Lonchura striata: one gene and its partners. The protein of the gene in region 4 purifies or fractionates together with the protein of the main gene of each other region. This does not show direct contact. Links are inferred from orthologs where the notes say so. Each region holds a gene or a part of one and is shown on either strand. Other genes may lie near its edges.

The links.
Region 1: the proteins of CLGN (region 4) and SLC30A1 purify together in Homo sapiens (co-immunoprecipitation; 3 studies listed by BioGRID and IntAct, with this or other methods). This does not show direct contact. The link is inferred for Lonchura striata from reciprocal best matches to the Homo sapiens genes CLGN and SLC30A1.
Region 2: the proteins of CLGN (region 4) and SLC9A6 purify together in Homo sapiens (co-immunoprecipitation; 3 studies listed by BioGRID and IntAct, with this or other methods). This does not show direct contact. The link is inferred for Lonchura striata from reciprocal best matches to the Homo sapiens genes CLGN and SLC9A6.
Region 3: the proteins of CLGN (region 4) and PTPRU purify together in Homo sapiens (affinity purification with mass spectrometry; 3 studies listed by BioGRID and IntAct, with this or other methods). This does not show direct contact. The link is inferred for Lonchura striata from reciprocal best matches to the Homo sapiens genes CLGN and PTPRU.

The regions. Positions count from the first base shown.
Region 1 is NC_134605.1:12,215,766-12,223,265, forward strand, and holds the start of SLC30A1 (proton-coupled zinc antiporter SLC30A1), read left to right. Parts: upstream 1-4,496; coding exon 4,497-5,130; intron 5,131-7,500. UniProt on the Homo sapiens protein: Zinc ion:proton antiporter that could function at the plasma membrane mediating zinc efflux from cells against its electrochemical gradient protecting them from intracellular zinc accumulation and toxicity.
Region 2 is NC_134616.1:6,717,368-6,724,633, reverse strand, and holds the start of SLC9A6 (sodium/hydrogen exchanger 6), read left to right. Parts: upstream 1-4,254; coding exon 4,255-4,516; intron 4,517-7,266. Other genes in the region: MMGT1 (ER membrane protein complex subunit 5), read right to left, coding at 633-795, 1,752-1,855, 2,689-2,741, 3,159-3,240. UniProt on the Homo sapiens protein: Endosomal Na(+), K(+)/H(+) antiporter. Mediates the electroneutral exchange of endosomal luminal H(+) for a cytosolic Na(+) or K(+).
Region 3 is NC_134628.1:7,632,025-7,639,786, reverse strand, and holds the start of PTPRU (receptor-type tyrosine-protein phosphatase U), read left to right. Parts: upstream 1-4,749; 5' UTR 4,750-4,884; coding exon 4,885-4,963; intron 4,964-7,762.
Region 4 is NC_134606.1:65,813,361-65,821,281, forward strand, and holds the start of CLGN (calmegin), read left to right. Parts: upstream 1-4,910; 5' UTR 4,911-5,067; intron 5,068-5,198; exon of another isoform or gene 5,199-5,282; intron 5,283-7,921. UniProt on the Homo sapiens protein: Functions during spermatogenesis as a chaperone for a range of client proteins that are important for sperm adhesion onto the egg zona pellucida and for subsequent penetration of the zona pellucida.

The DNA of each region.
Region 1 (7,500 bases), on a different chromosome or scaffold from region 4:
TTATCAGCATTAATTTCACAGCTAATTTGAGCAACTGTTTTGCCTGCCTACTTGTGGATTTTAGGAAAATACTATTTGTATCATAAGCATACAAACTGGTAATCAAAGCAGCCAGGAAATACTCTTTAGTCCACCAAAAAGGGCATGCCTGTTCATTAAAAACAATTACAGACTGACCATGCAGTCAATTGTGTCTGAAGTTCTGGAGCATTTACAGGATACGGAATGCCATTGAATCAAGTGAGCAGCTTGAAAGTAAAAATCCAAAATAAAGGAAAGATCAAAACTGGACATAAGAGAGGCATGTTTTAAAAATCAGCTGTTTCTTCATTTGGGAGAAAATGTTTCAGAAGGGGAAAGAAAAAAAGAGCTTTTAATCTGCTTTGCAAGGCTCAGAAGTATAGTGGATGACATACTGATCACCTCAACTTGCCTGGAGTTCTGCCACCGACTTCCAAAGAGCCCAGATTTCACAGACACAGTGATCAGGTAGAAGAAGAAATCTCTTTGTAGGGCAAGGTGTCCTTCATTTCCTATCTCAGTGCCAATTATTGCTATAGGCTTTCTTCACAGGTCACTAACAAAAGCATGTAAGCACATGCTTAACTTACCTCTGTTCGAAGGCCTTTTAATTAACTGCAAACACATGTCTATGTCTTTTCCTTGATAAAGCTGCTTTCCTGAATCAGTGCCTAACTGTGAATCCAACCTAGAGCTACATGAACAGTCATACTCACTTTTGTGTTGTTTTTTGATACAAGGAACAACCTTTTTATATGCAGGTATCTGGACAGTGAGTGCTTCTGTTGGCTTTGGTGATGCCGACTGCATCTAATTTGAAGAAACCTTGTAAGGACAGCTACCAGAGAGATACTGCCTGCGAGAAACGCAGCCTAAAATGAATGCTGACAGCCTTGAAGTGGAACAGACAGATGGAGACACGTTTGCCACAGTCCCAGAAAGCCCTCATTAAAAGCCAACAGGTCTGATGACTGCACAGAAAGGGGAAGAGCTGGGTGTTAAAAGGAGGCCGTGTGCTCTGTAATATGTGACTGCATCGGCACCTAGGCAGGGTTTCACCTTTTCCAAGTGGAAAGGCACACAGCGATGAAGAGCCCTACGTGGTGGAGATCTCTGCACTTGCAACCCTGCTCAGAAATTCAAAGGGGAAAAGCAGTGACTTTATTTGCTCAGCAAACATGCTGAGTAATAGCAAAACTCCCAGCCAAAGTCCTTCACACAGGGCTCGGCTGGCTCAGGAGAGCCCAGCAGGACTCGGTACAAAACGTTTGGCTGCAGGACAGGTGACAAGCAGCAGCTTTCTGTTCAGACTTGTCACCTGGCTCTGGGAGGGGAGGGAGCTGTGTGCCAGACATCCACAGCTACTTCTCCCTTCGGAACACAAAGCATTTATGGTAAGTAAACAGATTTTAGATGGGTCCTTCCACATCTGTGGACCGGAAGCTGAGCTGAGAAAGAATTCTTTGAGTCATGAACAATGCCTGGAAGCTGAAAAAAAAAGAAAAAACAACAAAAAATCCAGAGTCCTCCCTACTCTGAAGACAAAGTATTCTGCCTAAAAGCATAGGCAGGAACATTGTGTCTCCTGTAAAACACCATTTATGGTTTCATTAGGTACCTGTATCAGTCACTTTCCCATCAGTCTTAAAATTGATGGTGTTGCCAGATGGACAGCCCTAAATTAGGAAATATCCCTGTTCCTCTTGGCTGCTGGTGTATGGTAATACAATAGAAAAGCCTGGAAACAACAGTGTACAGCCCACTGGTTTACAAGAAAGTGTGGGGAAGAGGTAGCGGCGGAAACTCCTGTGTGGTCCAGCTGCCAGTCCATGCCTGGCACATCCAGCAGCCACAGGGGATCATTCATCAAAGTCCCTGTGTTTGAAGCCCATGGAGACAAGAGTGGCTGGGTCAAAACTGTATGCCCAGCCCTATTCATCAGGGAGCAGTGGAAGGCCTCAGGAACCATTTTTCTTCCCTGCCTGGGAAGACACCACACCCTCCCATTCTCCTGGGGTATATTGTCCATGTCTTGTGGCTTTTGGCCCCAAGTAGAATTAAGCACTCAGCATGGTATAACAGGACAAAAAGCTATCCCTGGACATGGCTAAAGATCAGCAAGATGCCATCCTGTAAGGGGAAAGATGCAGTACACTGGACAGTGGTGTGAGGCAGATCAGGAGGTCTCATGGTGAAGAGATGTAAAAAGGATTACAAATTGATCTGGACATCATTTGCATACCAGGAAAGGAGTCCAAAAAGCCCTAACTCCCCTCCTTAAATCAGGCAAAGCTCTTGACAAGTTTATAATGAAGATTTATCCATCAGTGTTCTACTGATATTGATATTCTGCTGATTTCTCTTAGGAGGGGATTGAGTACTTTTAATCAAGAAAACTATGATGACACCCTGGTGGCAACCAACTAAAACCCAATTTCACTAATTCCTGGAGCTGAGCCAATGAGAGAGACCAAACTTGTTGTTCTCCCTTCCTTCCTAGCTAAATTCCATTGGATTAATAGCAATCTCTGTAAAATGATAACCCACTTCACCTGCAGTAATTAAAAGAGGTTTGAGCTGCACCAGTTTCTTTGACCCATATATCCTAAATCTGGGCAATTCTTCCTTGTTAAACTAATGGCTTTGTGTGGGAGTGAGGACGACACAACATGGGCATGTTCTGTTTGCATGCAATTGCCTTTCAGCTTCCCGGTTATTTACTTGTTAGTAAGTGACGTCAGGGCATACGGGAAGCCAGGTGAGGAGAATGTTATAGCAATCTAATTGCTGACTCTTTTTACAATGGCTAGTAAAGAATCCTGCATGCATCCTAGATTTTGACCCAAGGATACTTTCACAGGTAACATGGTTTAGGGTCACAGGTCATCACAGCAGTACCTCTGGTGCCCAAGCCAGCTCTGCCATGTGAGGAAAATTAAGCAAAATGGCACACATTCCCGCTTATCCCACACATGGATAAGAGTGTGGTATCCAGATGTGGGCTCTTGGGGATGCTGCCAAGCACAGGGGAAGCCTGTCCTGAATCACTGCTCTCAGTTATTCTCATTGACAAGCTTTCCTTGTGGACACGTGAGCACCTTCTGTCATTTTACTGCCCAAATTAAGTCAGGAACCTTTGCTCGGACCCTGAATCACAATCCCTTTGAAATCTCCAAGTACAGGAACAACATTTTGCGTTCTGGCTACATCTTCCTTCTCAGGCCACCAGTTCTCCTCCAGCCTCTGTGGGTCCACAGCTCCACCTCCACGGCTGCTGTCTCCTCTCCACGCTCTGCTCATGGAATGTTCTTTCACACTCTGTCTCTTGCTGCCGTGTTTGTTGGTTCCCTAGAACACAGTGAGCAAAGTAAGAGGTCAGCTCTGCCTTTTTGGAACTTTGGCCGTTTATTTTTTTTTTATATGTTGTGGTCACGCGTCTGTGGTTTTTCCGGATGTCTCAAAACACTTGCTTTCCCTTTCCTAACTACAAGCGTAACAAACCAGTGTCCAGGGAACCGACCTTTTGGCATTAACATATTTTTCCCTATATTGTTATAGAAAAATTATTATAAAATTTATTAATTCGTATTTAACATTATAGAAATTATTATAGATTTATTTTATGAATATGTTCTTATATTATACAGCCTTCTAAAACTTCAAGCAGAACTTCTTGTAAAAACTCTTCCAATTTTTTTAGCCTCCCATCAGTTATTAGTGGTCGCGTTCGCACTTATCTTCCTGCCCTCAGTGGCAGAAACAGGAAAAGATTAAAAATTAATCTTTTAATTAGACGGAGGAAAAATTAAAGAGAAAGATTAAACAGAGAAAATCAAACAGAGACGCCCGCCCCCGCAAAAAGTCGCCGAAGACCGCAGATCCCACCCGAGATCCCCGCTCCGGGCGCGTGACGTCACAGCGCCCCTCACGCCGGGCCCCGCCCCCGGGCGCGCGCCGGGCCGGGGCCGTGTGAAGCGCACCTTTTGCACGAGTCCCGCTCGCCGCGGGCGGGGCCTGCGGGGGCGGGGCGGGAGGGGAAAGCCGGCCGGTGAGCCAATGGGGATCCGCCGTTCCCCGGCGCGTCACGCCTGGCCCCGCCCACTCCCCGTTCCAGGCGCGGGCGGGCGGAACGGGGAGGCCGCGGCCCGCTGGGCGTTAACGGGCGGGGGCGGGGCGCCGCTGTCGCGAGGGCGCGCTGGCCAATGGGGAGCGGGGCCGGGCGCGGGGGCGGGAGGGCACGGCCGGGCGGGCGGGGCGCGCCGGCCAATGGGGCGCGGGCGGGGGCGTGTCCGAGGCGGCGCTCGGGTTCCGTGTGAAAAGAGTGAGGGGGCTCGGGTGCAAAGTTTGCTCGCCCGGCGCCTGCGGAGGGAGCGGCGGCGGCGGCGGCGCGGGGGGAGCGGAGCGGAGCGGCCGCCCGAGCGCTCGGGGCTCCGACCGCCCGCCGCGCTCCTCGCGCCCCCGCCGGGGCAGCCGCGATGTGCGGGGGGATGGCGGCTCACGGTCCGGGCGGGCCGCGGTGCTGGCAGAACCGGCGGGCGCGGCTGCTGTGCATGCTGGCGCTCACCTTCTTGTTCTTCGTGGTGGAGGTGGCGGTGAGCCGCGTCACGTCGTCGCTGGCCATGCTCTCCGACTCCTTCCACATGCTCTCCGACGTGATGGCCTTGGTCGTGGCGCTGGTGGCCGTGCGCTTCGCCCAGCGCACCCGCGCCACCAAGAAGAACACGTTCGGGTGGGTGCGGGCCGAGGTGATGGGCGCCCTCGTCAACGCCGTGTTCCTCACCGCCCTCTGCTTCACCATCCTGCTGGAGGCCATCGAGCGCTTCACGGAGCCCCACGAGATCCAGCAGCCGCTGGTGGTCATCGCCGTGGGGGTGGCGGGGCTTATCATCAACCTGCTGGGGCTCTGCCTCTTCAACCACCACGGCGTCGGGGGCCACGGGCACGCCCACGGCCACGGGCACTCGCACGGCGGCCGGCAGCAGCACCCCCGCGGCGGCCCCAAGCCCGAGCAGCCTCCCGGGGACGGGGAGGCTGCGCTGAACCGCGACGAGACCAGCACCTTGGTGGAGAACTGCAGCAGCTCCAACGGAGTCAGCCAGGAGAAGCTGGGTAAGCCCCGCGGGGAAGCGCCGCTGCTCCATCCACGCGTAGAAAAGCGGGAGGGGTCGTTTCCCCGAGTGGGGCCGTGGCCGTCCTGGTCCCACCTGGTGCGGGCTCTGTCAGGACTCTGTGAGGACCATTCTGTCCCCACTCCTGGAAAAGAGGCGAGAAACTTTCTTAGCAGCTCTTGTGGCACATGGCTGTCGCACCTCTTCCTCACGCCTTTCCTTCGGATGCCCTAAGCTGCATGTTTGTCTTGTAGACAGGTCAGAGTGTAAGAGAGTCTCAGGATAAAGCAGTTTGCCCTGGGGAAAAATTTGGTTCTGCAAGGAAAGGCACATGACAAGCGTTTCTTGCCTGGCCACACGAGCTGTCACAAGACGCTCTCCTAATGCCATCCGAACTGGCTGTGCGGCTCAGTGCCTTGGTCCTGGCAGCTGGATTGCTCCATTGGGTCAGTTATCAGTTACCTGGGAAGCTACTCTCCATCTAAACCAAACACACGGAAGCGTATTCCACTGCAATAATGTTGTGTCTCTTCATAGTATCGGTATTAATAGGAAGAAGTCTTGGAAATTGCCAGTCAGAACTGTGGAAGCTGGAATGTAGAGCATGCTGGTGTCAGGGCACATGTGTGGTGTCTTGGGAATAATTTTTGTTTAGCTTTCTAAAGTATGTACCTTCCCACTGACCTGCGCACAGGCGTACGTTTAAAAATCTTCCCAATTGTGGTTAAACTGTTTCATAGGTAGGAATTTTTTGGTTTTTAGTGGATCCAGAAGCCTGGATAGTTGATTTTGAAGCTGCTTGGTCAAAGCTAAGTATTGTGTGCTAGCGGAGTGAAAGGTGTGTGTGATTGCCGCTTCTCTGTTCCTAGGGCATCCTTGTCACCAGAAGGAATGGACTTCAGGCTTTGGAACCAACTTCTTCAGTTTCAGGGTGACATCAGCAGACCATTGTTTTAGCTTAAAGGGAGCTTTAATTGGTCAGAGTGAACTTTGCTACAGTAACAGGTTTTCTGTGCTCAGAGGTTCGAATACACATTTGAGAAACTTAGTTTCTGTTTCTCCAACTCTGTGTTGGTTTTGGAAAGACAGGTTTTTCAAGAGGATAGGAAAGTTCATCTAAATACACTACACCATCTTCTTGACGATGTAATAAGCTCTTAATGTTGGTTTAGTTCCAGCAAATGTATCCTAATAATTAGGTTCAAACAATGTAAAATTACCTTAACCCTTAGTCTCATTGGCTTGGGAATTATTTAATTTAATGGTGAAAAGTTGTGCTTTTAGCCAAGTTTTGGACTAGTTAGAGAAAAAAGGTATAGCATGAATTAAAATGGATATTGTTGTGAGCTGACTTGTCTAGAATGTCTCATGGATGCACTTCTGGCAAGAGCAAATAATTTGTTGTGGGTATTTAGGTGGTAATAGGACGTAATTTTGGTCACAGTGAAACTTTGAGATAAGTTTCTATTTCCTTCATTGCCCTGTCATGATTATGTAATGGATGGAGCTACTCATAGTTTGCCTATGGAAAAGTTGGAGGTAAAGGTGATTGGAGGCTTGGGAGAAGATGTAAGATGTAGAGATAATGGCAAAGGTGATCCTGTGCCTTCACTGGAAATCACAGAGTGGGGTAGTCCTGATTTCCTGAGGCGGAAGTGAAAAGTAGGCATAGCCTTAGTGGCTAGTCCTGCACAAGAATTTCTATGGATGCACTTTATGCAAAATAATCAGTTTATTGTTACATTTTAATGAGCGTATTTCAAATGGGCATGTTTTAACCATTTGCCTTTAAAAAAAGTTCAAGAGCTTTCTGGAACTATGTTTCATGTTACCCACTTGTATAGACAGCTGTACTGACCTTTCAGATCTCCACTATTCCAAGTACTTGGTACAAAGTAGAGCGTTCCTCTTTCCTTGCTCTCATTGTGGACCTTGAGGTCTGAACTCTGTAACCCGAGATATTTCCCTCTAATTCATTTACGTCTCTGGAAAGTTACAGGTCCCATGTTCCATAACTCTTAGAGGCAGTGTGGAAAATGTAGCTGGAGCTTCAGGGCAGAAGCATACTGGATGAGGCAACGAGCTGGGGCTTGGAACTCAGCCTCGGTAGGAGCCCACTCCCTCTTCAGAGAGGAGAGCACTTGTGCGCACTCCGCAATTGCAGAATTGCAGCCACAAGGGCAGAACAGCAGAAGCTGCACGTCTTATTAACGTGTTAATGTTTACAAAGCTCTGAACTCAATAACCTCAAGGAGCAGTAAGAGCTCCTTGTTTCAGTTTGTCGGGCCAGGGGCCAGTGCCTGTTGCTTTTCTTTACCACTGGAAGTAGCCAAAAAAAAACTTTTGAAGAAAAGCAGGAGGTTAATCATGT
Region 2 (7,266 bases), on a different chromosome or scaffold from region 4:
CAACTCACGTGGAACAAAGGAGGGCAACGAGGAAGTAACGTGGTAGTGAGAAACCAGGAAAAAAAGAATAACCCTTCACACAACTGTTTTTCAGCATTATAAAAAAATAACAATGAAAGCAATCACTTTGACTCCCCCTGCCACACCGTGCTGGTGTCCCACAGGCATTCTAGGATCAGGTGCTGCCCCTTTTCCTGCTGTTCAGTGATGCAGTGCACACAGCATTTCTGAGGGGATCCGTAGACTGTAGTGCAAGCAAACTGAGAAAATAAATACACTCAAACAGTCCCTCCTGTCAAAGAACATCAGTTGCAGGAAAAACTAGCTTGCTTTTTGTTTTAACTGAAGTTAAGTTAGCCGCAACTCGTTTTAATATCTGAAACTTTGAAGATGTGTTTCACAGCATAACTGTAGAATTTACACTGCATTGCCAATCCACAATTCAGTCATTCTCATTAACAGTGTACAAAGAAGGTCATTAGTTTATATATATATATTTATATATATATATATTTTATAAAGTCTGGAAGATCAATATAAATACTGCTCCAGAAATTAAAAAAAGTGTTTACATCCCCGACTTCAATATTACATCTCAGTGTCCTGGGTTATTGGTATCATCTGTAAAAGTCTTAGCGGCGCAGAGGTTCAAGTTTTCGAAATTTCAGTGCCGAGCTGGATGACAAAGCATCTTGGTTTGAAGAAGAATTCACTGTGTCTGGGGACTGGAACAATACTCTACCACGATGATTAAATACATAAAAAGATGGGTGGTTCCTTAATGTGTCAAATGTCCTTCAAAATAAATGCAAAAAGCCAAGGTTAATACTCTTTCAGAGCAGGGAGTTTAGAACAGTCAGTCTGGGGCGTATTGACTTTAGACACAAAAATACAAGTTTTCAATCCAAACTCTTGCTTGCTTTTAAGTTTCCTAAACTGAACAATGAGGAAATACACAGTTGTGAAAAAGACCACAAGATGTCCACGTCACCAACTTCCCCTTCCTTTCCGGGGCTCAGGAGCAGCCTGTGGCTGCTGCTGCAGACATCACATGCCAGCCTTTGTTCAGCTCTCACTTGTGTTAACACCCTGATACTGCTCAGCTTTCCATCCCCCTGGGAGCCTCACACTAAAGGCTGAAATACAATTATGTCAACTTTTTCAATTCCCATACTCCCCTGTGGTTTTGGAAATGGCCAGAGAGACAACATCTGCCCATCCAATTTCCTGTCAGAATCACAGAATATTCTGAGTAGGAAGGGACCCACAAGGATCATTGAGTCCAACTCCAAACTGAACAGCTCATAAAGCAGTTGAACCTATGACCTTGGCATGCTGTAAACAACTATCCTCCTCAAAATTTTGGCCCAAAATCCTTTATTTTCTTAAAAGTCTTACAGATGTCCTGCCTTGAATATACTGAGTGAGACTCAAGTGACTCAGACGTGCAGTCTGAGACCATGTCATGACAGCAGGTGGTGGCTCCTGAGCTCTACTTCCCACCTGCACACTTCATGCCCGTACCAAGTCTGCACAGCAGGATTTCAGACGAGGAAAAGCAAGAAGTTTGATTTCTGCCTGTTATCTAATTCTCCCTTAAACTCAAGACTTTGTTGGCTTTTGCAAGCGTGGCTGCTCCCCTTGGGTGGCTGCCTACAGCACGCATTGAAGGACTGAGCTAAAGATGAGCAATTTCAGTTTGTACAGAGAAGCAGATACCCGTGTGTACAAAAAGAAGAAATCAAACATACTTATTTTTGAGTTCTGAAGTGGCATCCATGTCTTTAAACTCTCCTGCAATATGTGCTATCCCATAGCAGGTGACTGCAAAGGCCAGCAGAGTCTGCAGGACTATCTGCAACAGAGGGAGCACAGTGCAACACACACATTACCCGGTGTTCTGCACATTTACCAAAACATCTCAGCTTTCACACAGTATCTCTGGTGCTTTTCATCCAGTGACAGCAAACAGAGGGGGCATTCCAGCAGTGGGGAAACTGAGGCATGGAAGAATTAAAATTCTCTCCTATTTGCACAGCAGAGCTCCAGCTGCTCCAGCACAGGTCTGGGTTACACCAACTGAATTGACTCACAGAGCTCCTCAGCAAGAGCCTGAGACCAAACACTCTGTTCTCTGCTCTCCAGGACCAAATTCCTGCCAGGAACACTGTGGAGCCCTGGGCTAGGCACTGTGCCTGGCTCTCCCGGGCACCTGATCTCCCTGCCCTTCTGATTAAGGAGAGAGGGAACAGATAACTGAAGTGGAAATTTGAAAAGCAAGCAAATAAAGCAAATAAAAGCTCCCTTCCTGAAGCAGGCTGTGCTGGGATCAAACAGCCACACTGGATAAACATGTCAGCCACCCAGCGCCAGAGGGTGCAGGGTGTTTATGCTGCACAGGAGGTGATGGATGCAAAAGCTCTCTGAGCTACGTTCAGGGGATCCTGGACAGGATGCTCCAGGGTAGTTCTAAAAGAGAGGGAGGCCTGGATCTGGGGTTTGGGGTTTCACTAACAACTACAACATGCTCAGGAAGTTGGGATGAAAATGAAAAATGTGGTTCTTTTTGACAGTGCCAGCTCCAGTGATTAAAAACTACTTTATACTTTATGCTTGCCTAGCACATTAAAAGGAAGCAACTGAGAGACTAAACCACCCCAGTTACACCTTGCACACACAAAAACTTACATCTATGGGCAACGTTTCATCTTCCTTTTCTGTCAACCTCATGTAAGAACGATCTACAAAACAGAAACACACGCACGCATCAAAAACTCCGTGCACGCAAATAAACAGCCCGGCAAGGCGAAACCCCAGAAAAACGGCTGCAAAACACGCGTCAGCCCGGCCCTCCCCGGGCAGCGGGGCCGCCCCGGTGCCGCTGCTCCGGGGCACGGCTGGGCCTGCCGCAGGCGGCCGGGAGAGGCCAGGCCGGAGCCGCGACCCGGCGGGCGGCAGCTCCCCCTTCCCACCCTTCGTTTTCCCCTCCGTTCCCCCGCGCTCCTCCCGGCCCCACGGGCAGGGCCGCCCCCGCCGCCGGGCTCGCGGCTCGGGACGATGATGATGCTGCCGGCCCGGCCCGGCCCCCGCCCCGCGCGCTCCCCGTCGGCCGTGCGGAGGCGCCGGTGCCCCGGGGCGCCCCCCCGGCCGTGACTCACGCTGCGCCGCCGAGAAGGCCGCGTGTGCCAGGGCGAACAGGCCGAGCCCCACCAGCCCCTTCCACACCGACCCCGCCGCCATCGCCGCCCGCCGCCGCCAGGGCGCCCCGGCGCGCCGTGATGGCGTCACCGAGGGGGCGGGGCCAGGCCGCGCCCCGGCGCGCGGAGGGGGCGGGGCCAGGCCGCCGCTTTCCCACGCGGGGCCATTGATAAATTCCGAGCGGTGTGTGAACCCGGGATGGTTCCCGGGGGGCGGTTGAGGGACAAGGGGCCCGTGGACCTCCCCGAACAGGCCCCTTCGCTCCACCGGGCCAGGCCGGATCCCTTAAGGCCGAAATCAGAGCGTAGAGCCAGTGGTACCCGAGTTAATTCACATTTTACACGCGTTTAACCTCAAAGCTTGAGAAACCGGTGCAAGAAAAAACGGGGCAAAGGCACGCACACAACGTGTAGGAGGGACGCCCCTGGCCGAGCCAGGCTTGGGGCAAAGCAAGGAAACACCACACAGTCAAGCATCCTGGGTCTTCCGTGCCCCCAAGGCACAAAGGCAATTCTTTGAGGACCTTTTCTACAAGTCACCTTTAAGTTGATCATTGGCATTTATTACAACCCTTGACTCACCGGCACCGCGCATCCCCCCTCCGTGTCTTGGTAAAAAAGGTGGGAAGTTTACCCGATCCCACTTGGGGGCTGCCGGCGGCTCTTGGCACCAAACACATGCCTTGGCACGGTGTGAAGGCACGACCAGGATCCTCCTGGACCCCGTCTCCCCCTGGGCCCTGGGGAGTGTCCTGCAGGACATCCCTCCAAAGCACGCTGCGCACAAACAAGCCCCGCTGCTGCGCGCGGCCGCGCTGAAGTACCCCGCTCCAAGTCTGCCTGGGGGTCTCCCTCCCTCTACAACCCCCTGTGAGCCCCGCTCCCCTTCTCCGTGCCGCGCATCCCGCTCCCGGGACTCGTTCAGGGCAGCCCCGGCCCCTTTCCCCCCGCTCGCCCCGGCCCGTCCCTATCCGGGCTCCCGGCGCTGTTCCCGCCCCCGGCGCCTGCGCCCAGAGCCGCTTCCTGGTGGCGGCGGGGCCGGGCCGGTGCCGGGGCGATGGCGGGGCCGGGGCCGGTGCTGGCGGCGGCCGCGGGGCTGTGGGCGCGGGGCGCGGCGGCCGCCGAGGTGGCGGCGGCGCGTCCCGGGGCGCTGGAGGAGGAGATCGTGTCCGAGAAGGCGGCGGAGGAGAGTCACCGCCAGGACAGCGCCAACCTGCTCGTCTTCATCCTGCTGCTCACCCTCACCATCCTCACCATCTGGCTCTTCAAGCACCGCCGCGCTCGCTTCCTCCACGAGACCGGGCTGGCCATGATCTACGGTGAGCGGTGCCTGCCCCGGGCGCCGGGAGCCAGGTCCCGGCCAGCCCCGGCTCTGGCTGCCTGCCCCACCGCCCACTGCCGCGGCAGCACCAAAAGCATGGTTCTCCCGCTCGGTGCCTGCCGAGGGGCTGCGGGGGGACACGACACATCCCCCCGTGGGTGCTGTGTCACCGGGACAGCCCCGTGCTGCTGCGCTCAGCCTTATCTGGGTGCTGCTGAACGGAGGGTTGGTTGTTTTCCAAACCTTAGATATGGAGAGCTCTCCAAGGCAGAGGTGCTCTCAAATGGCTGGCAGTGGGGAACCGGTTGGGTTTTTCCAGACGGCCTCACGGGGTGAAGCTGGCAGGGTCATGGGCTACCACGTCACCAAGCACTGGCAGGTCCCACTTACCTGCTCCGGGTTGAGAGTGGGGACTTGGGGCAGCACAGACCAGTGGTTGCACTGGTCAGGAGCCTCACATCCCGGGCTGGATGGGGTTCTGAGCAACCTGGTCTAGTGGAAGGTTCCCTGCCCATGGCAGGGGGGTTGGAGCTGGATGATCATCACGGTCCCCTGACCCAAATCATTCAGTGATTCTGTGATCCCACATCCTGGGGCTAGAGGCTGTGATTCCAAGATGTGTTTAGAGCATCCAGATTTCCAGAAGCTACCCAAGAAGACTGGAGAGGCCATTTAGGGGATTCTCCCAAGCTTTGGCATGCTCAGGGCCTGCAGAGCCAGCAGCCTTCTATCCTGCTGCCTGGGGACCTGAGTGCACAACCCTCTACCTTTTCCTCCCACTGTGACAGGACCTCTTGGAGAGGAACCCCTTGTGTATTCCCAGAGGAAGTGAAGCAAGGCTGTGGGTCAGTGCAGTGGGGCTGTAGACATTTGGGTTTTAATGGTGGCCTGTGATTTACTGAGGTGACATGGCCTCGTGAGGTGGCCTGAACCCCAGGGTATGATGGGGCCATGTATGGCTCTCCCTGGGTTATCTGGCATGACTTTGAGTTCAGCCAAAGTAGGACTGGGAGGTGTGCTGGGGAATGATTAACATGGCCGTGGATCTGTATCTAGGGATGATTTTAGGAATTTAGGATTGAGAAGGCATCTCCTGTTGCGTGCTGTAGTTAGTGTGTCCTCTGTGTGGCCCTTGTTGGCTGGGGGTGAAGTGTGGCCACACAGGCAGATGTGGCTGAATCTCCCACCCAGCAGAAAGCTTTGATCTGAAGGCTGTGACTTGACCTGTTTGGGCCACTGGCTTTTGTGATCCCAAGTTTCAATTAATTGGAAGTCTCCTTCCAAATGAAGGGGTGGAGGCACTTGTGTCAGCACACAGGCACGAAATAATGCTCTGCATTTTCACATTCCATCCAGCCACTGCTCGGGGGGTTCAGATGTTTCTGGCCTCCTGCCCAGGGTGGGGATGGTGACCTCCTGGGACAGGAGCTGTGCTGTGGGAGGACATGCTTCCAGCATGGAAGGTCTTCTCTCTCCTGCTGTGTGGAGTGCCCCAGAACTCCTGACATGCAACTTTCTATTCCTTTCATGCTCTCACACCTTGTTCTTCTTCTCCTGGACATTTCTTCCTCTTGATTGTCCTCTCTCCCTGATGTATCTAAGTGCTCACTTTATTCTCAGAGCACAGCCTGGGTTGTTTCAGTCTCCTGCTGATCCATAAAATGCACCTTTTCTGTCTGTTCTTCTGCAGACTGTGCTTAGGGAATTGCTGAAATCAGTAATGTCACCTCTCTGATCATGCAGAAAATCCCAAGTTTTCCTCAGTGTCAAGGCTTTTGGCATTTACTTCTCAGGTACTGGCAGGTGCCATAGGAAAAGGGATGTGTAATTCCCAAGGAATTCATTCCAAGGTGAGATGCTGTTGTTTTACTGTGACAACTTGAAATCTGCAGGGAAGAGAGGAGGTGTCCCTGTCCCTATCTCCCTGCGATGGTTTTAGCCCCAAGGAATTTCACTGAAAATGTGGAAGGGGCTGCAAAACAGACCCTGAAATCTGAACAAGAGAAGCAATTTGCAAAAGCTTGTCTTTTTCTGTTTGTAAAAACCCAACAACGAAGTCAAAACTTGGGCTTATCTCTCTTTTGGCAAAGCACATCAGTTTCTGGTCTTTATTTTTACTGGAAGTTATAAGCTCTTGCTCCAGGTGGATTTCTGTCGTGCACATCACACTGTCAGCTCAGAGCTGATGTTCAAGAGCTGGAAACTGTCTGGAGTAATTTCAGTGATAGACAATAGGTGCTTAGTAGCTCTTAAGATTCATTTCAGTGTTTAAAATGAAGTTCCCACATTTGAGATGCTCAGCATTTAGGGTGATTAATTGAACAATTTTGTTTCAGTTCTTCTCAGAGTCTGATGGTGGATGTGCAGGAGCTTCTCTAGAAGTTTAGTTTCCTTCTACTTGTTCCCACTTGACCTGTGGATTGTGTGTGTCTAAACTGCTTGTTGTCAGGATGTCTTCAGTTGTTACATTTTTCTTTCCTTTTGGTGTCCAGATTAATGCTTGCCTGGGGATCCCGTCTGCTTTCATTGTTGTTAAGTGCTGGGTTTGGTAATATATTAGTCTTCATTTAAAACATTACCTCGGAAATGTTCAACAGCACCTTAAAAAAAAAAAAAAGCCCATGGGCTTTTGTTATTTTTAATGAAGTCAGGAGAAATGGCAATGAAAATAATCTTGTGCACTTTGCATAAAAGAACCCAGTTAATTTGCCGGCTTTGCCTTCAGCTTCTCAACTCCTTGCAGCTTTC
Region 3 (7,762 bases), on a different chromosome or scaffold from region 4:
TGTCTGCAACCCTGGCCCTGTAGATGCCAAGCAGCTTGGAGAAGCAGTGATGGATCCTTGGCCAAACTTTCCTCCCTTTCAGCCCTGTTGGACAGGTGGGATTGAGCTGGATGTGCTGGAGGAGCAACTGTCCTCATGCAGAGCCCTGGGGACAATTCCTGCGTGTCTCCAAACCTGGTCACACATGAATGCACGCTGTCCACGCATTCCTCCATGCATCCTTCCCCACACCCAGCTCCATCGTCCCGGGAGGCTCCCCCAAAGCCCTTCCCCAGCGGAGGAGCCCCTGGGAGGTGCCGCCCTCCCGCCCTGGGCCAGTGCCAGCCCTTTGCGGGGACAAGGAGCTTTTGTGGAGCCCCTGTGCCCGTCCCGCTCCGCTCCCGCTACATTCGTGCCGTGCCCTCAGCCCGTGGCAGGTCCTGGTGCATTGATGATCCTTGAAGCACGGGAGTGGCACCAGATGAACCCCAGGGCTCACCCGAGGAGGTGGCACGGATGGGCTGTGGGGCTGTTGGAGCAGGAGAGTGACCCACAGGGAATGGGGAACAGTTCTGTTGTGATACGCTGGATGCAACAAAACCCTTTTTATTTTTTTTTGAAGTGATTGGTTTGGAAATACAATTCAGGGGTTTAAAAGGTGGTGGAAAGCAGTGCAGTGCTCCAACTGGCTTGTGCAGCTTAAAAACTTCTGGTTTCCTGCCTGATTCCCTCAGAATCCTGGGAATATCCTGCTCCTGCTTACACTTGGCTGCATTTACCCCCCACCCGAACATTTTCAGTTCAGCTGCTAGGTCAAGACCCCCCCAGATTCCTCCCCAGTCTGGGCAGAGACTATCCCCCAGTCCAGCCCTCCAGCGCCTCTTCCCAGAAGGATTTTGGGGGATTTTTCTCCAAAAAACTCCAGGGGGACCCTGCAGAGTGCCCTCCTCTGCACTGTACCAGCCTGCACTGTGCCAGCCCTCTTCTGCTTTTGCTGCCACACATCTAAGCAGCTTAATTCCCTTATCGGGCATTATTTTAACAGGCTTTTAGTGTCACTGGGGAGAGGATTTGTAACTTGGAGAGGAGTGTCCATCACCCTCTGCCCTCACCCCAGATGTACTGTCCTGGCTGGGGGACACACGGTACTGGTCTGGTTTATCCCCAGATCCATGGGGACGGATGCATCCCTGCAAGAAGTGTCACCATGGTGCTAACCTGCTGGGGGTGCTGCTGGGAGCAACTGGCGGCAACTGGGAATGGAAGAGAAACGTTTTGTACCCCCATGGCACAGGCAGGGGTGACACCGGGGACACTGCCAGGAGTACTTGGGGCTGGTAGCTCTGAGGTGACCCCAGATGTGCTGAACCCCTGTCCTAGGGAGGAGGGGGCCAGGAGGGGGCTCTGCAGTGTCCCCAAGGCTGTGTAGTGTGCCCAGGGCTGTGCAGTGCCCCATGTCAGTGCAGTGTCCCCAGGGCTGTGCAGTGTCCCCAGATAATGAAGCCAGCCCATAAGGAGAAGCAGCACAGCAGTATCCCGAGGGATGAGCTGAACTTGGATGAAGCTGGCAGGCAGTGTTGTCCTGCTTCTGGGGCTGGGAACTTCCCAGTGGGTTCACCGGGCTCAGTAACACCAGGTACCATCCCCTGTCCCTCTGTCACCCTGCTGGATGCTGGCAACTGGGTGCTGTCTTTCAGGACAAGGCTGAATCATCGCAGGGTGATGCCACTGCCAGGGACTCTCCCTGTGTGATTTGGAATAAGAAGTCCCAGTATTTTCAGCGTTGTTCCCTCTGCTTTCCAAGTTTTCCTATGCCCAGGCAGATTCCCACCCTGGAGCCACAGCCAGGGCTAGGTGATCTAAGCATGGACCACGCTGGAAAGCTGAAGCAAAGTTCCCCTCCTCCTCACACCAAACCTTTGGGAAAACATTTTCCTCCAGAAATAGGGCTGGAGAGGATGTCAACAAACAAGAGGGCCTTTCATCCCCCCTGGCATTGCTGGCAGGGACACGAGGGCTGATCCTGTGTACTCAGCTGGGAAAGGGACAGAGATTTTCCTCCTTTTACATCCTTCCAGGTTTTTCTCCTTTCTGCTCACTCTGAGTTAGATCCTGCACCTCCCTCTCTCACCCCCTTCCCACCCCGGGGGATAGTGGCTTTGCTGGGTGTCACCGGGGTCTCAGGAGCCACTGCCACTCCCATACAGCCTTGTCTGGCTTTCCCTGTCACCATCCTGCCGAGCTAAGCATCCCTGTCCCTCAAGGACATCCAGCCTGTGGGAGAGGACCAGGGGGGTTTCAGGGTCAGAGAACACCCTTGGATGGGCAGGAGGCTCTGTCCCCAAAGTCTACCCGCAGGGTCTTGTCTCTGCCCCACAGCCTTGGGCACGGCCAAGGGGTGATGGGGGCACTCGAGGACTGGGGGAACCCACCTCACAGTAGGTGTCACCATCACCTCCCTCTGTCCCAGCCTCCTCCCAGCACCTGTCCTACAACTGGAAACCTGCAGGATTCACTCCAGCTTGGTGGAGACCCTAAAACTGGGACCCCTGAGGACACCTCCTGCATTTGGGGGGTCGTGGGGGCCCTCCGGAAGGCAGGCTCCCCGCAAGCTGGGGACTATCCCTACATTCCTACATCCCTGCATACCCAGAAAACCAGGGACGCCCCTCAAAGCCTGGCAGCCTCCTGCCCGCAGGGAACCTCTCTTTCCTCCTGCAGCCGGATCCCCCCCGCTGCAACAGGAGACACCGCAGCAACAGGAGTTCTCCGCGCACCGGGAGCTCCCTGCAGCCGGGGACCCCCGTGCTTTCTCCGCACCCTTGCGGGGTCCTCTCCTGCCCCACCCCGCAAGCAAGAGCCGCTCCCGGGCAGACCAAGCGGCTCTGCCCCGGCACCTCCCCCAGCCCGTAATTCCCGGGACCCCCATTCCCCGCCTCTCCTGGGACTTCCTCCCCCTCTCTCCCGGTACCGGATATTCCCCTCCTCCCACCCCCCGGTACAGGAGGCCTCCCCCCCTCCTCGAAACTCTCGGGACCGCCCCTCTCCCCGCACCCCCCCAGTACGGGAGAACCTCCTGCCTTGACCGAGCGCCGCCCGTCGTCCCCAGCTCCCGGGACCCCTTTCCACCTCTCCTGTCCCCCGGTACCAGAGAACCCCGTCAGTCCCCCCGTAACTCCCGGGACCGCCCCCCCTGCGCTGCTCCCAAACTTCCCCCGCGGCACCACCGCTCGTGTCCGCCAGGGGGCGCCGCCGCCGCGCCCACCGCTGCCGTTCCCGGTACCGGCGCCCCCCCCCGCGCCCCCCGCGGGCAGCGGTGACGTCAGGGCGGCGCGAGCCGCCGCCGCCGGTATTTGAGGCGCGGGGCGGGCACGGGGGCCCCGCTGCGCCCCCGCCGCGCCGGAACCGCGGGCGCGCAGCGGCGGCGGCGGCCACGGCCCCGCCGCCCCCCGCCCGGTCCCGGCACCGCCGCACCATGCGGAGCGCCCGGGCGCTGCTGCTCGCCCTCGCCCTGCGGGTCTACGCGCTGGACACCGAGACGCCCGCCGGTAGGAACGGAGCGCGGTGTGTGCGCCGCTCGGTGCGGTTCCGAGACTCCACCGACCCCGGTGCTCGGAGGGTCCCGCCCGTCCCGCAGCCACCTGTTTCCAGTGGAGGGTTCCCGAACCGCCACGGCTCCTGCTCGCTCCCGGTACCGGGGCCGCCGTCCGACCCCCGACCCCCCCGTGCCGCACCTCGGGAGGGAAAACTTCCGCTGGTGGCAGCCTGGGGAACGCGACCGAGAGGAGCCCTCAGGCCGGTGCCCGGGGGTCGGCGGGATCCCGGTGGTTCACCGGCGGCCGCGACGGGAAGCTGGGGACCCTTTGGTGGGAACAGGTGGCGGCCGCGGCGGCTCCGGTCGCAGCGTCCTGGCTCTCGTTTTGCTGGGGGGCACTGGGGGAGTTGTACGGAGGTACGATCGATCGATTAATTTGCAGATTTTAAGTTTTCCCCTCCTCCCCCTGAGCACCTCGGCGCTGCGCCCTGCGGGCCCGGGACCCCCCAGCCGGGGTTACGGCGAGAGCTGGTGCGGGGTGTGGGACGACGACGACTCGCTCCCAGTCCCTTCGGGAAGCTGGAATGAGGTTTGATGCTGCGGGGAATGGGAATTTGGGGCTCCCGAGGTGCTACCGGGGGCTGCGATCGCTTTTTTTGGGGAAAAGGAGCCACGGGAGTTGGTGCCTTACCCCAAGGGGTCCCTGATCTCATTAAAGTGTATTTTTACCTAGTTCTTTGGGTTTTTACTTTTAAATCCAAGCTGTTCACCTGCACGCAGTCCCCGTGGTGATGCATTGATTTTGTTTTTTTGGGTAGTGGCATTTCTCCAAAGATTATAAATAGTGACAACCATCAGCAGAAAACAAGCGGCGGCTGACCCGTGCGGTGGGGGATGGAGAGACGATGGGTGGGGGGCTGTGAAGCTGTTGAGGCTCCCCGGCTCATGCAGGGTGGGGGAAATGGGGAGGGAATTGGTTTGTGTATTGTGGGGAGAGGTTGTGTGCTGCGGGAGCTGCTGCTCTGAGCTTCGGGACTCAGCAGGGGGCGATAGGGAAACTGAGGCACGGAGCTGGTGCGCGGTTCAGTGCTCCGATGGAGCAAGGGGCCTCAGCCCCCCGCCCCCCGGGTTTCGGAGGGGGATTTGGGGTTTGCTGCTCCGCAGCCCTGGTGTGCGGTGCTCTGTTGGCTCTCAGGGCTGAGCTGCTGCAACCCGTGAGGGGCAGTGGTGGGGATGCACTGGGGACTGGGGTGGCTTTGTGGGGAGGGTCTCCTCCTAAGCAAACCCTTTTCCCTTGGTGGGGTCGCTTCCCTGCAGAACAGCATTGGTGAAGGGCAGGATCGAGCCTGCTCCGGGTGTAAACCAGGAGTATGTTTGCTCCATTTCCCTGGCCGATGCAGAGCAGGCTCAGCTCCTCAGTGGAGCTGAAGGGATTGTGTCCAGCTGGAGGTAAGGGGTCTTCTGCCAGCCCCCCTGCTGCACTGCAGGCTGCTTTTCACCTGGATCTGCTGTTTGGTTCTGCAGATGTGGCTTGGCCGGCTGTGGGGAGGTTGCTGGGGCTGCACAGTGGGCAGGGCTGGGAAAAAATATTTAAACCGTTTGCATGTGCTCTGGGCCGCTGGGGAGGACGCGCAGCTTGTCTCGGTGGATATGTTCAGAAGATGGGGGTTTTCTAGCTGTGCCTTTGCGAAGAAGGGGTGCAGATGGTCCCTTCTACAAGTAAGGCACAGGGAGGAAGTGGGGTGTCCTGGTCATAGCCCACCACGAACTTAGGGTGCTCTTTGCTCCTTCCTGCAGCCCTCAAACTTCTTGTAGTTCATGAAGGTTTCGCAGTGACTAAGCTGTCCTTGCGGCCCGTTGTGCTTGTCACGGAGGGGACCTGGGTGGGCTTGGGAGGCACTGGCTGGCCCCCCAAAGTGAGGGGTGCAGAGGCTTCTGTGGTGCCAGCAGGCTGGGATGGGGACCAGCTTCCAGCAGCGGCCTTTGGCAGCTCCGTCTCTCCTCCCTGGGCTCTTTGCAGCAGGAGCCTTTTCCTGCTGGAAGCCCGTGGCCACGAGGCGCCCGGCTCGCAGCGCTCCGCGCTGGGCCCGGGGACAGGAGGCTGTGCATGCTCAGGTATTTCCCTCCGCTTTTTGCCTTCCCTGCCAGGAAAGGTGAATGTGGCACTTGGGGATGTGCTAGCGGCATGGCTGGACTCAGTGATGTTTCCCAACCCAAATGATTGGGTGCATCGCAAGGTGCCCCTCTGCTTCTCTGTGTTGCGCCCCGAGAACTCGGCAGCTGCTCCGGGCTCCCTGCCCGTGCTCCCGGGCTGTGTTCTGGCGCTGGGGACACACAGCCGTGCTGCTGCCCGGCGCTCCTGCCGGAATCATGCGGAAGCTCTTTGCGCTCGGCTCTGACTTCGTCAGCAGCAATGAAGCAAATAAAATATTTGGGTTTGTAGCTTCCACTTGGGAGGTTGGGACTGCCAGGGAGCACTGGACTGGGGTTGGAGGCGTCTCCGGGGGCACTCGGACTGCTTGGGGGGGCTGGGGGAGGCGGCTGCCGGCTGCGGGGACCAGCTGGGCCAGGCAGGAGGGACGGGGGCCCCCCAAGCGCGCTGGCAGGAGGTGGCTCGGGTGACCCTGACCCGACGCGGCGGTGCTGTCTCGGTCGAGTGAATGGGAACAGCCGAGCAGACGCCGTTCCTGGGCTGGGGTCGGGGTCGGGGCAGCCCCCGCCCGTTAACGGTCGCCGGGGCTCGGGAGGTGCTGGGAGAAGGGATGAGCTCGGGGAAGGGGGTCAGGAGCAGAGATGTCCCCGGCTGCTGCTGGGGGACAGGGTCAGTGTTCGGCGCCCTCGGGGTGCTCAGGTGCCTGATGCTGTTCCTCCAGCGCCTTTCCCGGTGTTTGTTTCCCTCCGCCGGGCTGTCCGTGCCAATCCAAGGCATTTTTGTTCACCCCACCCCACCTTCACCAAGCACATAAAACGTGCGAGAACGTTACATTTTCCTTCTCAGCTTGTTTCAGGCTTCGTCTGTGTTTTTTTGTCCTCTTTCTCTTGTTTGCTCCTACATATGTTTTTAATGCCCCGAGAATGCCATGCCCTTTCCCAGAGCGCCCAGACAGTGCAAACACCCTTGAGGCTTCTATGTTGAGATGCTCCGGAAAATCCTGTTGACGTGCCCAAGTGTGCCCAGGGCAGAGGTTTCTGGCTCCTGAGCCCTCGGCTCTCCAGTGTGTGCAGAGGGACACTGCCGTGTGGTGGATTTTCACCATCCACGAGGGAGAAGCAGAATTTTGGGGGGCTCAGAGTGATGCTGATGCTCGTGGATGGACCTGTCCCTCTGGCTCTGTATCTGCAGTTCCATGGTACAGCCTGGCAATGTCTGGGTTTTTTCCTCCCCCATCAAGACTTACAATTGCATTTGTTTCATTGTTACCTTTTTCCTGTTCCAAAATTCCTGTTTGATGTTTTTCCTCTGGGGTCCCTGGACCTGCCCTGGCCCCGGGAACAGGGATGCTAGTGAATCACCTCCTGGCTCAAAATGCACATTTTCTCCCTTTGTTATCCAAACTAAGACAAACCAGCCCTATTCTACCTTTTCTGGGAGCTTTCTCAGAATCAAGTCTATCAGGATCAGGGCCCTGGGGGAGGAGAGACACCCCCTGGAAAACCAAGGCAGGTGTTTGTTGGTGGCTTTAACCCCTGTCCTGGCTGTGACCACCTCCTTGCTGCCTGTTGATGTTGGTTTTTCCCTTGACTGCACCTGAGATGGAACTTCATCACCCAATCCTTGTTCTGCAGAGAGGCTAGGAGCTCTGAGCACCCCAAAATGCCCCATAAGAAACTTCTCCTGGCTGCAGTCCCTCTGCAGGGATTTGCTGCTTTGCTTTGGGCAGTTGTGTGAGAGTTAAGCATGGGGGGCTGGAGGCAGAGGAAGGCAAATCCCTGCTGCATCCCTGGGAGCTGGGAGGTAGCAAAGGCTCTGGAGAGCCTTATCACCATGGCCCTACCATCTGCCTGCTTAAACCTCCATAAATAAGCTTTTTCATAATCTATTATTAACATGCACTATAGCTGTCTTATTAGACATATCTACGAACCTTTAGTTACTGTGTGATTAAATGTCAGGATTTCCAAACCTCTTCTCCCCCATGGCAGCTTGGGATTTGCTTTGTAGCTTTCCTTGGATCCTGCTCTCTCATTCAAGCTTGGAGATCCCTCCTTGTACTTAGTGAAACTGAGGCTTTCCCCTCTGGACAAGGA
Region 4 (7,921 bases):
ACAACAAGCAAACAAATGAACGGGTCAAAAGATCAATTCCATATCCATTTAGTTACTAATACTCTCTATTAGGAAAGAGTTGAGTTAAATCTCAGGTCTTTATATGACAAGGTATATGAAAAGAATGCTAGTAATTTCTGTAAAATGTCCTTTAGTAATATGTCATATAAAAAAATTATCACCTTAGTTTAAGTGATTAAATAGATGTTATTATAAACAATTGATAAGGTGTTACAGCCTGCCTCAGGGACTAAAGCATAAAGGTATAAAAAGTTTCACCAGAAATAAAAATACAGACATTTTTGAAAAATATTAAAGACATGGCATTCAACTCCATTAAAAACACTAGTCAATTTTATAGGGAAATTAGAACTGAAGGAAATGTTGTCAATATTAATTGCAAGTATTTAAAGTAGTTCACAGGAACAACTTAATGTTATGAAAATTTATCTCAAACTTAATATAAATGTGTTTAAGCCTTAATGTGATATAAGTTATGTTAAATATTTTTTAAATGAAAATTGTCTACAAATTATGATTTGAATAACTTGAAACTTAAACGGGTATTTTTTGGAAAATTGTAAAACTTCTTAGTGAATTGTGCATTTAATTAATTACAGGAAATAAGGGTATTATGGTAACTATATTTTTGTAAAATAAAATCTATATTTAAATACAATTTTGGATCCTGTTATTTGATAATCTTATATTACTGATATCTGATCTACTGATATTTCAATCCTTGTCACAAGTTCAAATTCAACATAAATTTGAAAATAAAGAGTAAATAACAGTAATCTCATTTGAAAAATTTTTGGGAAATTAAAATCTACCTTTGACATCTACCTGTTAATGGTCAGAATTCTGGAATCATTTACTTAGCACATGAAGCACGACTGCACCCTCATTCCCCTGCACAGGCATTGCTTCCTGACAGCAGAAAATAAACTGCAATATTTGGATTTGTGTTGAACGGGTTACATTAATGTAGAGTTGTATTCCTAATGCCACAGTGTTTTTCATTTACAATGAGATGGGATTGATTTTTTTACATTAAAACAGTTCAGAAGAGTGCTTTCTTCAAAGACAACCTCTAGTAATATTTTGATAATATTGCTTAGAGGTTTGTTGTTTATTTTACTTTATTTTTTTAAATTTTTATGTACGGGATTGTTTATATACTGTGGTGCTATATATGTAGATATGTGTACATACATATATTGGAACAACTGTTGCAGCCTTCGTTAGGAGTTTAATGCCAGTTAAGAATTGCTGCAGTAATCCAGCATGCTTAGAGGTATACTTGGAGATACCTTTGTTCATCTGCACTTACAGTGAAAACATAAAACCTTATTTTGCCATTGCTTTCACTGCAACAGATTCGCTGTTGGGAGTAGTGTCTGCATTCAGGGTGCCTTACATTTACTTGTTACAGGGCAGTGTCACTAAGAAGGAAATTCCAGAGCAATTATTTAAATCAGTGAAAATATAGAATATGCCAAAATAATAGATTTTGCTACCAAAACATCTCATTTTCACAGCAAAATGAGATTTCTCTCTAGTTGTTGAAGTGTGCTTTCGGCAGAAGCTCATCAGAATACCTGAAATTGTATTAGGAAATTACTGGACTTAGAAAAACCTTTTAAATGAAATTTTCCATTCTGTGCTGCCAGCTTGGTGCTTCAGTGCTTGTTTTTGATACCGTTGCAATCAGAGAATACCTTTCTCATCACTCGGATGTAAATGAGGTTTTACTTGATGCTGTAAATAATTAATGCTTCACAAGAACCATTAATTCTTCCCCGTGCTTTTGCAAGAGCAGAGGTTTCTTGCACAGTCTGCAGAACCACGGCTCCACTATAAAATCAAAGGAACCTCCTAAGAGGAATTCTGGATTTTCACTGAAGAAGCAATATGAGGAAGAGCAAGTATTCCAGCCCAAGGAAGTTTACAACAAGGGAGTGCAGTGGAGGAATACTTCAGCAATAGCTGAATATGTCTGTGCATTTTTGGCAACAGCCACCACTAGCAAGGGAATGAGCTGGGTGTGTTCCCAAGGAGTGGTTACAGAACACCTGCAGCTTCCTTTCCATCCTGCAAGCAAGATCTCACCTGTGGTTTTCTGTGTAATAATCCTGGGCACTGAACCTTCACACTCAGTGGCTCTGAGGCCAGATCAAAGGCTCAATAGAAGCCTTCCCATAGGAAGGCTTCAGTTCAGGTCCCAGGAATAAGGAACTTCCTCTGACTTTACAAGTGACTCTATTGAAGTCTAGGCATTGTGATTGTAACTTAAAAACCAAAGGTGGTAAACCGTAAGTGAAAAAAACACTCCGAGAAGAGTTTCACATTACAAACCAGATCACCAGGCTCACTGAGTGGGAAATTTTACTTCAGTAATTTCATGTGGTTTAAAATATGAGTCTCAAAAATAAGGTCTACCTCAGGCTCATTGTACACATACTTAGTCATGTTAAAATGTCTGTGTGGTAAGAAACCACAATTTTCAAGCTAGTTCCGTTACTAAAGTCCTCCAGAAACACTGGGAAAAATAAGACTCCCTCAACACTCACCATTTTATTGTTAGGGAGTAAGGCATTACTTTATTCTTGGCTGAGAGGTGTGTGTGGCTGACAGAGTTCTTCGTGCTGGCAGAGATACAAAACTCCGTCACTTATTTGTACATTTTTAGCAAAGACAGGAATTAGTGCTCACTGGTTCCAAGTTACATAATTCTCTTCATTAATTAGTATTCTATCCTCTATTCATACTATGCTTTTCATGCTGATTTAGTGCACCTTTTTTTAGTCTTTTTATAATTTTTTTTCTTAGATGGGAAGTCCCCAACTTTTCAGATATTAATCCCCTCTCTATCTTCTGGTTACTTCAATATCCTTGAAGGGCCACAACCTTAAGATCCCAGTTGTCCAATCTTTAGTTCCCTTTGGCTCTGTTTATTGAAGCTTGTCAGGTTAGTTTTAGCAAACTTAAGGTTTCACTGATTTAAAGATCACAGTAACAGTAAGAGTCTGTGAAGAAAACCAGTACTGGCTAAAAGCAGGCGTTGCTTACAATTAATTAAAGAAACTAGTTAAAAATTAGTTAAGAAACATATGACTTTCAACAGCTCAGTATTAATAATGGTTTATTCAAACAATTTTGATTTTCACTAAAGCACAGTTATTCAATTCTCTGAATAATGTGTTTCCAATTCTCCTCTTAAATATTTTTGTGGATTTTTGCAAAGGCATGCCAACATTTGTCTTCAGCATAAGAGGCAGATACAAACTTGGCTTTAGTAACTGTGAAAAATGCATATTTTATGATTGGCTTTTCGCAAATGTTACAATGAATATTATATGTGTAATGTTAGAAAGTTATGCTGTATTAATTCTCTTAAGTAGTGTGCTAAGTATAGTTTTACGTTACAACATAATGTTAAAATAGAAACTCTGTGATTTAAAATATCTTTTACTAGCTCAAGAAAAGAGATAAGATAATCAAGAAATTATTCGCACAGGGATAACAGTGACAGGGCATATAATTACAGCCTCCTTATTGGAAAAGACAAACATTCTTCCACCTTCACTCCATCTTTATGGAACTACCAGGATTAAGGGGAACAAGTTGACAAAAACCAGAAAAATTCTTAATTTACAAGGAATTTATGCATCATGTATGAGATACATGAATATTCAACAGGCTATTGCTTTTAAGGGCTATTCCTTTGTTCACAAGACATGTTTTTGGCAGCGGTGAAAAACACCAGTCACTTGGTTTTTAAAATATTAAAAGTTTAATAATAATAAAATAGTTATAAAGATAGTAATACAATTAGAGTAATAAAAATGTAGTCAGGACAATTACAAGACAATAAAAAGCAAAGAATTACGGATGTCCGGATGCTCTCGGGCACTTCTGGTTTTTGTCAACTCCTTCCCCTCAATCCTGGTGGTTCCATGAAGACAGAGAGAAGGTAGAAGAATGTTTGTCTTTTCTGATAAGGGGCCTGTAACTCTTTGTCCTGTTGCTGTTATCTCTGTGCGAAGAGTTTCTTGATTATCTTATCCCTTGAGCTAGTAAAAAAATCCTACATCGCAGAGTTTCTATTTTAACATTATGTTGTAAGCTGAAAGTATATTTAACACACTACTTAAGAGAATTAATACAGCATAACTTTCTAACATTACACATACAATATTCATTGTAACATTTGCGAAAAGCCAATCATAAAATATGCATTTTTCAGAGCAGCTTAGCATCCAAAAATATCCGGACGTCCGTAATTCTTTGCTTTCTATTGTCTTGTAATTGCCCTAACTCTAAATTTTTATTACTCTAACTGTATTACTATTTTTATAACCATTTTATTATTATTAAACTTTTAAAAATAATAAACAACAAGTGACTGGCGTTTTTCACAGTAGCTCATTTAAAATGTTTTTATTTCGCTCTGCTTCGCGGCACGTACGTTCAAGCGGCAGGGTGAGCGTCTAGCTGTAAGTAAGGGTTTCATTAACTCGAGGTTACGGGTTGGAAAACTCTTTATCCTGGCCGCTCCCTGGCTGGAGGCAGGCGGGGATGGGCGGCGGGCGGCGGCCCGCGGCCATAACAACAAACCCCCCTCAGCGGCGCCAAGGCGGAGGGGCGGGGCCGGCCGATGGCGGCGGGCGATTGGCTGAGGCGCCCCGCGCAGGGCGGGCCGGCAGCCGCGATCCAGCCGCGCATTGGTCCGGCCTCAATCCGGGCGCTTCCGATTGGCGGAGCTTGCTGCCCGTCTCCCGCTTCCCCGCACGCTCCGCTCGCCCGTGCCGTGCGTGCCGTGATTGGCCGGCGCGGCGCGGCGCGGGCCGCGGCACCTGCTCCCGCACTCCCGAGAGCGGCGGGGGCGCCGCGCGCGTGCGCGGCCGGGGATGCGCCGGGGCGAGCGGCCGGGCCCGGCTCCGCCCGCCGCGGGCCCGACAGCGCCGCCGGTAACCGCCGGTAACCGCCCGTTGCGGGAGGAGCGGCGTCGCCGTGCTCGGTAACCGGGCCGGGAGAAGCGGCGGGCGCTCAGCCCCGCGGGAGGTGCGTGTGCATCCCGTGCGGCCAGGGGAGGGGCGATGGCCCCGGCGGGCGGTGGCGGCCCCGGCTCGCCCTTGCCTCACGACGGCGGCTGGTCCCGAGGGTGGGATGCGGGAGGGCTCGGGAGCTCGGCCCCTTCCCCGAGGCCGGGCGGGAGAAGCGCGGAGTCGCGGGTGCACGACGGGCGGAGCTCCAGCGGCCTTGGTTCTCCTTTCGAGGTATCCCAAAAAGCAGGTTCGAGTCGCATGCTGACACGACACCGCGTGGCCGTTTGTCCCTAAAATCTGTATTTTTTGATTGGGAAAGAGGGTCTTGAAGGTTTTAGTCGAGCTCCCTGTAGCAGCAGAATATCTCGAGGCGCCTGCGGGAGTGCAGCATTGTGGCTGGAGGAACTGCTGAACTTGGCATTCGGCATCCACTACAGCGCAGGGTGCTTAACGCTAAAGGTAAAGCGAGGGAGGTACAGTTTTCACACCCAATAAAGGAAAAAATTAAAATCGTGGAAGAATTCTTGCATGCATTTCCAGTTACACAACGTTTCCAGTTACAGCTGGATGTTATGTCAAGTTGATGCCAATGTAGCAGAATGAGAGCGGGAATAAAGCAGCTCATGGTTGCAGATGGAAGAAAGGGGGTGTGAAATATCCTCCGCTTTTCACATCCCTGGATGAAATTGGTATTTGGTCCTGTGAAAAGACAGTATATTGATACTGGATGCAGGAGCTTTGGACTTCGGAGTGAGAATAGCTGTCTTACTCCCTTTCTGCTAGAGAATCCAGAACTCTGAGAGTTACATGGAAAAGGCATGACTGTTTTCAAAGTACAAGAAAAGGTCAGTAATCTGAAAGATCCTGACCTCTTAACTAAGTTCTTCAGTGAATGGAATAATGATGCTGCTAACTTAATGGCATGTATACGATACACCCTGGTACAGAAGTACAAAAGTTGACACAGTTGCACTATGCAACCCAAATCAAATTGTTGACACCACGAATTCTCCCCTGACCTGCTGCTTGCAACAGAGGTAGCCCTGAGGCTGGTCCAGCTTGCTTAGAGATTTTTTTCTATACTGTCTTGGAAAAGCCCAAGGACTGAGACTAGGCAGGCTGTACTGCTGCTTGCCTGTCCGTGTGGGGAGAGAAATTCTAATATCCAGTCAGACTATGTTTACAGCTTATGCCGTTGTCTTTTATCAGTACTGGTCTGTGTCTCAGAAGAAGCAGCTTGTTACTTTAGGTGCAATATTCTGCTGATGTTGCAGCACTGTTGTTGGTCCCTGGAGCATCCTCTGCAATACTACTGCTGGCTTAAATGACCTGCTGATGTGTAGCTGTGCTGTGGTTACTCATGGTAAAAAGTGACCAAGCTATGCAAAATGTATGTTTAAAATTACAGGTCTGAACTTAGATGCATTGACAAGACTGCTAGTAAATATGTTTGGTGTTTTGTGAGAGCCATAGACTCTTCTAATTTGCTTTGTTCTGCTGAGGAAATTGTAACAGTGGGAATCCTTTTGACTTATTTTCATTGCCATCTTGAAAATAGAGTAAGAAAAGTTTCTCGTAGATCTTCATGTGTTACTATGGAATGTTCAGTAGGTTTTAAAGATAATTAAATGTGTAGTGTGAAGATCTGTTTTGAGACCATAAACTCATTGGTTTAGGTGAAAGATTTATTTTATATTCTAAGACTGTAGTGTGGCAGAGTTCACAAAAGTGAAAGATGTCACGGGCTGGTTAAAACCATCTTTGCCTGGCAGCTGAGTGTTAACTTTAATTGGTCTTGATAACATTTCAGCATTTCTGGGACTATTTTAGAAGTATGTTAAAAGGTCAAAATTAAAATGCACCCTCTCTTCTTGAAGGAAGAAGTAAGAGATATAATTGAAAGCTGAAGGAACTTAGGGTAGTCCTGGGTAGGATCAGGGAGTAGTGATAAGATTCAGTGGGAACCATGTGACAGCATCAGAAATTTTGGAATGGAGCTGTTTGCAAAGATGAGTACTAGTGTGTCTTTTTGGATGCCTGTGTTAGTCTGTGTATGGAACAAAAGTGAATGGGGGTAATTACAGTAAAATTTCAGCTACGTAAGTGAAAAGCATTGTCAATCATACACAAACACACCTGAAATGTACTGGAAGAGAAAGTTGTACCTCTTGCTCTGCTTCAGGAGAAGCAGAAACCATGTGCATGACAAACTAGCAAAGGTAAGGTAGGCAAGCTATATGCTAAAAATGCAAGTGTGATACTTGTTTAATATTTGACAGTTTAGCTAGGAGCTAAGGAGTCCAGAAGGTATTGATGTGGAATTCTTTGAGTGCTTGTCCTAATAACGATGGTTAAGGAACAAGAAGATGGAGTTGGTAAAACTGATACTCCTCAGACAAAGGTGTTCAAAAATACACCTTAAGATTACATGTTCACCTGTGATAAACTCAGTTACTTTAAATCTTCAGGGCAAGATTATTTTAAGTGCTAGAACTACTGAGGAGGTCTATGAATTAACAAAATTTCTAGTTTTAACCTAAAAAAAAAAACGTCAAATACAAAACACTACTAAAATTAACAGATAACTGTTGAAATGTATCACCTGAAAAAAAGAGGGAACCACAGACTTACTATCTTCAAGCAAGGTTGTAAAGTCCAAAGAATGGCAGGCATTGTGGATAGTAGTAGGGGAGAAAAAAAGAATAGTAATATGGTTAATGTAGATTTGTGGGAAATAGGTGTTAGTCCCAAAAAAAGAGGCTTTTGATTATATCCTAGTATTGACATAGTACTGGTGTGTGAAATGCTTATTTATGATGATCCTGTATTTTATGTATATCCTGGCTATATAATCAGTGCAGTTAATATAA